2 linked regions of the Oryzias latipes genome follow. The protein of the gene in region 2 interacts with the protein of the main gene of each other region in a biochemical or structural test. Links are inferred from orthologs where the notes say so. Each region holds a gene or a part of one and is shown on either strand. Other genes may lie near its edges.

Evidence for each region. The genes of interacting proteins can lie anywhere in the genome.
Region 1: the proteins of rab11a (region 2) and rab11 family-interacting protein 1 form a complex in vitro, tested with the Homo sapiens proteins (2 studies listed by BioGRID, with this or other methods). The link is inferred for Oryzias latipes from reciprocal best matches to the Homo sapiens genes RAB11A and RAB11FIP1.

What each region holds. Positions count from the first base shown.
Region 1 is NC_019867.2:17,228,902-17,232,552, reverse strand, and holds part of rab11 family-interacting protein 1, read left to right. Parts: coding exon 1-83; intron 84-219; coding exon 220-1,144; intron 1,145-2,269; coding exon 2,270-3,651. UniProt on the Homo sapiens protein: A Rab11 effector protein involved in the endosomal recycling process. Also involved in controlling membrane trafficking along the phagocytic pathway and in phagocytosis. Interaction with RAB14 may function in the process of neurite formation.
Region 2 is NC_019861.2:431,461-435,211, forward strand, and holds the start of rab11a (ras-related protein Rab-11A), read left to right. Parts: upstream 1-1,249; 5' UTR 1,250-1,411; coding exon 1,412-1,451; intron 1,452-3,751. UniProt on the Homo sapiens protein: The small GTPases Rab are key regulators of intracellular membrane trafficking, from the formation of transport vesicles to their fusion with membranes.

The sequences.
Region 1 (3,651 bases), on a different chromosome or scaffold from region 2:
GTCTACTCTCGGAACGCTCCCAGAAAAGAATTCCTCTCTCAGCGGCAGCCGCTCTTCTGGCCTCAATGTAGATTCTCCTGAAGGTATTTTCATCCTTGTGTTTTTTGGCGTGTTCCGTACACTAACGGCTCTGACTTTTATCTGCTCTGCTGTTTGAGTTAAGAAAATGTTGTTTTGTATTTCGACAATGACGGCCTTTCTCTACCTTCCCTGCCACAGGTAAAAAGAAATTCAAATTTCTGGGACACAAGCGATCAGGAAGCTCTGACAGTAAAACGTCTCTTGGTCCTTTTTCTGTTCTGGGCCGCTCCAAGCAGAACATAAACGACCAAAACAACTTGTGCATAAATGGCAACCACGTGTACACTGAGGAATCAAAGACCAAGAGTGGGTCTACGCTGAGTCTGAACAGCTCTGGCAAAGGCTCCCTGGAGGACATCCGCAAAAACACATCTGACATTCCTGCAGAATCCTCCAAAACTATAAACGTCCCTGCATTCAAATCTGAACCAATCAATAAAGTTTCATTAGAGCAACAGCGCCACCAAGAGGCAGAAGAAAGAAGGCAGGCAGAAGAGAAGCGTCTTGCTGAGGTGAGAAGACTGGAGCAAGAGGAGAAATACAGGGCAGAGGCCAAGAAACTCCAGGAGGAAGAGCAGCGCAAGCAGCAGGAAGAGCAGGAGAGGAGACGCCGTGTCATTGAAGATGAAGCAAGGAGGAAGAAACAAAATGAGGAGGAGAGGAGAAGAGAAGAAGAGCGAAAAGTGCTGGAAGCTGCTGAAAATCAAAGGCTTGAAGACGAGCGTGGAAGAGCAGAGGAGCGCAAACGCCAAGAGGAGGCCTCCATGAGCGATAGGCTGACGTCTTTGTTCGGGATGATCCGAAAGAAAGAGGAGAAAAAGGAAGATGTACAACAGCAAGCTCCTGTGGAGCAGCACCCCACCCCGGCAACTCGCACCAACTCAGGAGCACCCACTCAGTCCGTGTCCCATCACTCCACTAACCCATTTGAAGACACCTCTGGTCCTTCAACTGTCGACAGTGAAAGTTCAGCCGCTAACCAAAAGTTCAACCGCAACCCACAAGCCCCCTCTGCTACAGTTTTTCTCAGCCGGACTGCTAAAGTGTCAGCCGTCAAACCCAGGTATGTCTTTGTCTCCTCTGAATACTCCTACATGATACACTCAGCAGACACTTTAATCCCAAAAGTAAAGGACAAGATTCAAACTCCAGTGTTTTAAGAAACTGCAGCACAGACATGCAATTACAAAGTGGTTAGGCAGCACAATAACTAAATAAACCATTAGTTTCAGTTACAGCTGACAGAACAAACCATGTTGACGTCTGTTAGTGCAGACGGTGGTTTCTCTGCTCTGTACTGTTGTGGAACCACAACTGAAACCAGTCTGGAGTTCCTTTAGCACATTATACACAAATGTATGCATCTGAACAAAATCTGTCAGTTTTGTGACACTGACATTCGGTTTGGTTTACTTCAGCTGGTTTTTCTTGGTCTGTTTTCTCTAACATTACAAAGGTTTCCTCTGGAGGAAACAGTAGTAACCCACTACCACAAATCTCCTACTACGAATTTACTCTGAACATTGCCCTTTTGCATTATTTGTCTAAGCTTCTTGTCAAAACCATCTGCAAAAACAAAAGACATTTCTCAGCTATTTCATGTTTGGTTTTTTGCTCTCCTGCAATGACTCTGCCATTTGGCAGTCTCTGCATTTTTTAGCTTTTTTACTTTCTCACATGTCGGCAGACCTGTGCGACCTGTTTGGTTAGATGCTGCTGAAAACCTGGGCGCGTCTGGGTAAATGCTGTGGAACAAGTTGTTGGCTTAACAGAGCTCGCACAGACTGAAACACAGTGTTGGTGTGTGTGGATCTTCAGCGTGGCTACCTTTTTAAAAATATATATTTTTTTTCTTTTTTGTGGATTTGTCTGAGTTCTAACTTCTGTTATGATGGTAAGGTTGTTCTTGTTATCAATGTCTCTGTTCCCATCAGTAGAAATGTAAAACAAGAAGAGATGAGAATTTGCTAGAAAATAAAAGGATTTGATCAGAATCTAGTTCTGTTGCATAACTGATTTATTTTTTACTCTTTTTGTAAAGGAAACTATTTCAAATAGTGTTTTAATAGTTATATATTGGCTAAAAAATGGACATAGTTTACACAGTTAGATTGGTGATTGGGTTTTATGTTGTGAAGTGACTGTGGTCACACTGACCTTTAGGCCTTTTGTTTTCGCTTCTTGGCAGACTCTCTCAAAGTTCGGAGTCTGAAACCCCTGACTGTCAATCTCCGGTTCAGCTAGACTCCTTCTCAGTCAGGTCTGAGTCCACTTTCACTAGAGTCCCAGCAGAGTCCTCTGAGGCTTTCTCCAATCTACACCTACTGTTGGCTCCACCAAACAGGAGCCCAAGCCGGCCTGGTTCTCCCCGTGGCAGTACAGAGGATTTGTCATCTGTTGAATTGGGGAGATCATCATCATCTGCTATGGCAGACCAAAGGAGAAAAGCCATCCTACCACCCTCATATTCTGGACATAGGACCCCAACTGAGGAAAGTTTGGCTCCTGTCAAAAATCCAGTGTATGTAGAAGAAGATGGACCTCCACGAGGAAATAAGTTGTCTTTACCACTTCCTGATTATGAAAGCCTCTTTCCTCAGAGAAGACATGGAGTACAAGGGCAAACTCGTTGGGATCATATAGTTGCTGAGGTCAACCAGAAACAAAGGGACAGGGGACCTGAACTTGTGGGTCCTGAAATGAGTGTTGATGGGCCAGAAGAATATGCATCAAGTCTTAAATCCCACATGCCACAGGAGACTCCTGCTGAGAAGAAGCCTACGACGAAACCGGTGTCGTCAAAAAAAGCGGCCGCTCCTGCTCCACCAAAACAAGCATCTTCTGGTGTAGACTTCAGCCAGAAACACAGACAGAATGTCACCCCCCAGTCTGTAACGAGACATAGTCCATCTGTAGTCCCACCATTTAGAAAAACGGGCTCCCCCAGCAACAGAATGTTCAGAGAGGGAGATGGCAATGTGGCAAAAGCATCAACCGAAGGCGCACCTTCACACCGACCACAGAGTCAGAAGACTTTTGATCCAACACCAGCAGCTGACCAAAGGTCTGTGCAAGTTGCTTTGGACAAACAACCACCCACAGCTAAACCCAGACAAAGGGTTGGTGCCAAAGAGCCTGCACAGCAGGAGCCATCTGCTGTGAGCAGTAGCATCCAAACATTGTCTAGTGTGAGCAAAACGGACAACAAAACAACGAAAAACATTGCAGAGTTGGATCAGCTTCCTTATACGGAGCATAAGTCCAAAGATGGACCGGGACACCTAAAGCAGAACCAAGAAGATGATGGCCTGTTCACTGGCAGGCAGGAAAAACGGCAGCAGAAATCCGAGGAACTACTGATGAGAAAAGATTATTTAAAAGATTTTAGCATTGAAAATCCTGCTGATCATGTTGCCCTAAATGATTGTGATTCAGAAAAGACGAGTGAGAGCAGGAAAGAGGAGGAACAAATGCCACAAAGTCCCTCTTTTCAACGAAAAAACTCACAAAGAGCAAAGAAGAATCTTCCACTGAGAAGTCTCACAGACGACAAAACTTTCATGTCTCAGC
Region 2 (3,751 bases):
TATTTATATAGCACTTTCAGTCAACAGCCGCCGACACAAAGTGCTGAACACGAGAAAAAGAAGAAAACAAACACTAAAACATCTTAAAACACAAGATTAAAAATAGAGAGATAAAACAATAAAAACCAGTACAGCAACACAGCAATAACAGAAGTCTCATGTCATATTAAAAGCCAGAGCATAAAAATGGGTTTTCAGGCGTGTTTTAAAAATGGACAGTGATGGAGCTTCTCTTACTGACAGTGGCAGAGAGTTCCAAAGCTTTGGAGCAGCAACAGAAAAAGCTCTGTCCCCTCTGAGCTTCATCTGGACCTCGGTACCTCCAGAAGCAGCTGATCAGCTGATCGGAGGCACCAGGCCGGCGAATAGGGAGAGAGAAGTTCAGAGAGGTACAGCGGGGCAAGATCATGTAAAGATTTAAAAACAAATAAAAGAATCTTAAAGTGAACTCTAAAATTCACAGGATGCCAGTGGAGCGAAGCTAAAATTGGCGTGATGTGGTCTCTCTTACGTCCTCCAACCAGAAGACGGGCAGCTGCATTTTGAACACGTTGGAGACGTGAGAGAGACGACTGGCTGAGTCCAACATACAGAGAATTACAGTAATCCAGCCGGGACGTGATGAACGCCTGGATTACTGTTTCAAAATGTGCAGCTGTTAAAAAAGGTTTTACCTTGGCAAGTTGGCGAAGATGAAAGAAGCTTGACTTCACCAACAATAGTTGCCATTGGAGATACCAAGCCCTACAAGGACCAAAGAGCAGAGAGATGTTAGTTCAGTCACTTGTGTTTTTGCTGTTTTTCTTAAAAAGGATCAATCAACAATACCTTCAAAGTAAATCAATGCAATATGATTTATTACAACAGAAAAATCATTTACTTATTGTCTTTGGTTCTTTTGTGCTTCCTACATTTTGATTGTAAACAGTCAATTATATCTCTACTTTTGATGCTGTGAGATGGAATTATTGTCTGCATTTTTCCAATGGATTTCCCAAGTTATCCCTTGCGAGGAGATCCAGTACTAAAGGAAGCACTTCACCTCCTTGTCTTTTTATTTTGCAGAATTAAAAATATTTTTTTCCTTCTTAGACACAGTAATTTATCTCAGAAAGGATCCTTCCTTAAAAAACAACAACAAAAAAGATTTAAAAAACCCCAAACAAATTAAAACAAACAAACAAATGAACCAGACAAATAAACAAACAAACAGCAGTTCCCTGTACCGCCGCCAGGCGTCACCTTTCCCAGGAAGGGGGCGCTGCTTGAAGGAAGAAGAACTTGCGGAAGTTGATCTTCTCCTTCAGTTCCTGACGGAAAAGTAAAAAAGAAAACAAAAAATAACCCAAAAAGAAAGACAGAAACGCATTTAGTCTTTAAGATAACTGCAGTTCGGATTAACGCGAGGACGATGGGCACCAGGGATGACGAATACGACTATTTATTCAAAGGTGAGGTGCGTTTGTTTCGTTTAGCGGTCGGGCTAACGGCCCGGGGATCAGCTGACAGGCTAACGGAACCGAACTCATGCTTCGTGCCGCCACAGGCCCTTTCGGGCTTCCCGGGGGGGTTCGGCGCGCATGCCGCCTGTGATGCGGCCTCCACCCAGCGCCGGGGAGGCGGCTCTTTGTCTGCCGAGGAGTACTAGCTAAGGTTAGCCGGTGTTAGCCCCCGGTGCTAGCCCGCTGACCGGAGGCGCGCGGGACACACCTAACCGTTATCGCGTTTGATCCAAATGGGGCCGGTACCGAGTGTGTTAGTGTACTGACGGGTCCAGCTCGTCCGTCATTGAACTTGAATCAATCTGTCTGTCATTTATTCAGACAGTGTAAAACCAAAGTCAATAGTATATTTTTGAAGGCTACTATTATCTTTTGCTTTAGTTTTCCACAAAAATATAAAAGCAGTAAAGCGGCTGTTGTTGTTGTGATGCTGGTCGGCCGGTAGAATACATGAAGGTGGAAAGATGTTCGATTCCCTGTAATCTTCCATGGTTGGACACGGCATCCAGCTGTTTAAAGGAAATCCTTCAATCAAAAAGTAATTATTGTGTAACTTATTACTAGTAGAGCAAGGAATTATTAATTAATATTGTGACATTTTACCCATTAGTTATTGATTTACCACAGACTCTACCCAAAGGTAATGATGACAGCAGCACAAGGCAATTATAGATGAAAAATTCCACTTAAAACTTTGATTTTCATGTTTTTATGTGTAATATTTTAGTCGGACTTGTTTACTAAATTGAATTTCCTGTTGGGCTTCTTTTGGCACACATATGTGTGTGTGTGTGTAGTTTCTGTGTCCTGGTAAACGTCTGTCATTAGTGTTTTTGATTTTAGTCTTTCAAAAGCATATTGTTCTCCGGTTCTGCTTCTCTCAAACTAGATAAGCTACACTTTCATTTTTATCAAATGAAGTTCAAAAATCAACACTATTAAACCATCCAAGTGTGAAACAGGTTGTGGTCTGCAAGTCTTGCAAAGAAAGTGACATAAAAGTCAACAAAAGGCATTTTGAGGCTGTAGTATTGTCAGGAAACAGGTCATTCTTTTACAAAATAACTGGTAATCTGTGAAGGATTACAGTTTGGAGGTAACTTTCATAACACGGGTCCAGTCCATGACGACCTGCCAGATATTCTGTTCTACTCCAGCCTTTGACTTTGGAGCTTTTGGTAGATCCAGGGGCTTCAAAGCCGGCCTCTGATTGGGCGTTCCATAAAACGGATGTGCAGTATTTGGACTGAACAGAAATGTTATTGCTGACGAGACGACACTTCGCATCACAACATCCCAGATGTCAGCCATGTTTAGTTAAAGGAGATGAAGTTTGAACCATCAGCCTCCTTGGCTGCTAAATGAATAGAAAGTTTTCCATTTATTTACACTGGAAAATGAAAAACACCTTTCGGTATTCCTTGTATACGTGTTCTTTGGTTTTATTCAGTATTTTAATTTTTAAGATCATGTGTGGGGTTACTTGTTGGGCTTTTGGGGGAAAGAGGGTTGGAATTATTTTGACATGAATGTGCTTGTTTAATTCTTTGTCTTGGTGTCCAGCACTGTGAGCATGACGGCGCTACGAATGAAGCCTGACGGGCTGACGGGGCGATGGCGGCTCAACTGTCTGTTTCATTCCCGTCTGCTGACATCCTTCCAGGATGAAAATGGAAACGTCGTTTTGAATGAGGCAGCGAGTAAATGATTGTTGGAGGTCTTTACTGTAGTCGTAACGTAGCTCTGAAGCTCTGCTGACCGTAAATGTAAATGTAGCAGCAGAAGTGGGCAGATAGCTTCTGACCTCCCTGATGGTGTTTCTGGCTGAAAACAACCAAAACCCAGAGAATTCTGAACTGTTCTGCTGGAACAGAAACGGTCAGTAATTGTAACCTTAGCACCAGGGGAGTGACTGCAGCGTTAAAACTTCAGGAGAACCAGAGATATTGAAGAGACTGGATAATGAGGAGGTGTTAAGCTGACCTCTGCCCTGGCAGCAGGACCAGCTTCAGTTCACCTGCACGAACCTGCAGTTTGTGCAGAATTCTGGGCTTTATTGCAGTCAGTCAGGTTTGGCCCAGTCTTTAAAGTTGGGTTAGCCTGTTTGTTTTAAGAGCTGCTTATGAGGCCAGACGGGCGTTTCTTTGGTGATGTCAGAGAAGTGGACTGAATTTAAAGAGTAACTATCTAAAGTGACCAAAGGTCTATGGTTGAGGGCCTGCAGTGATACTGGAGCTGTCCACAAACTT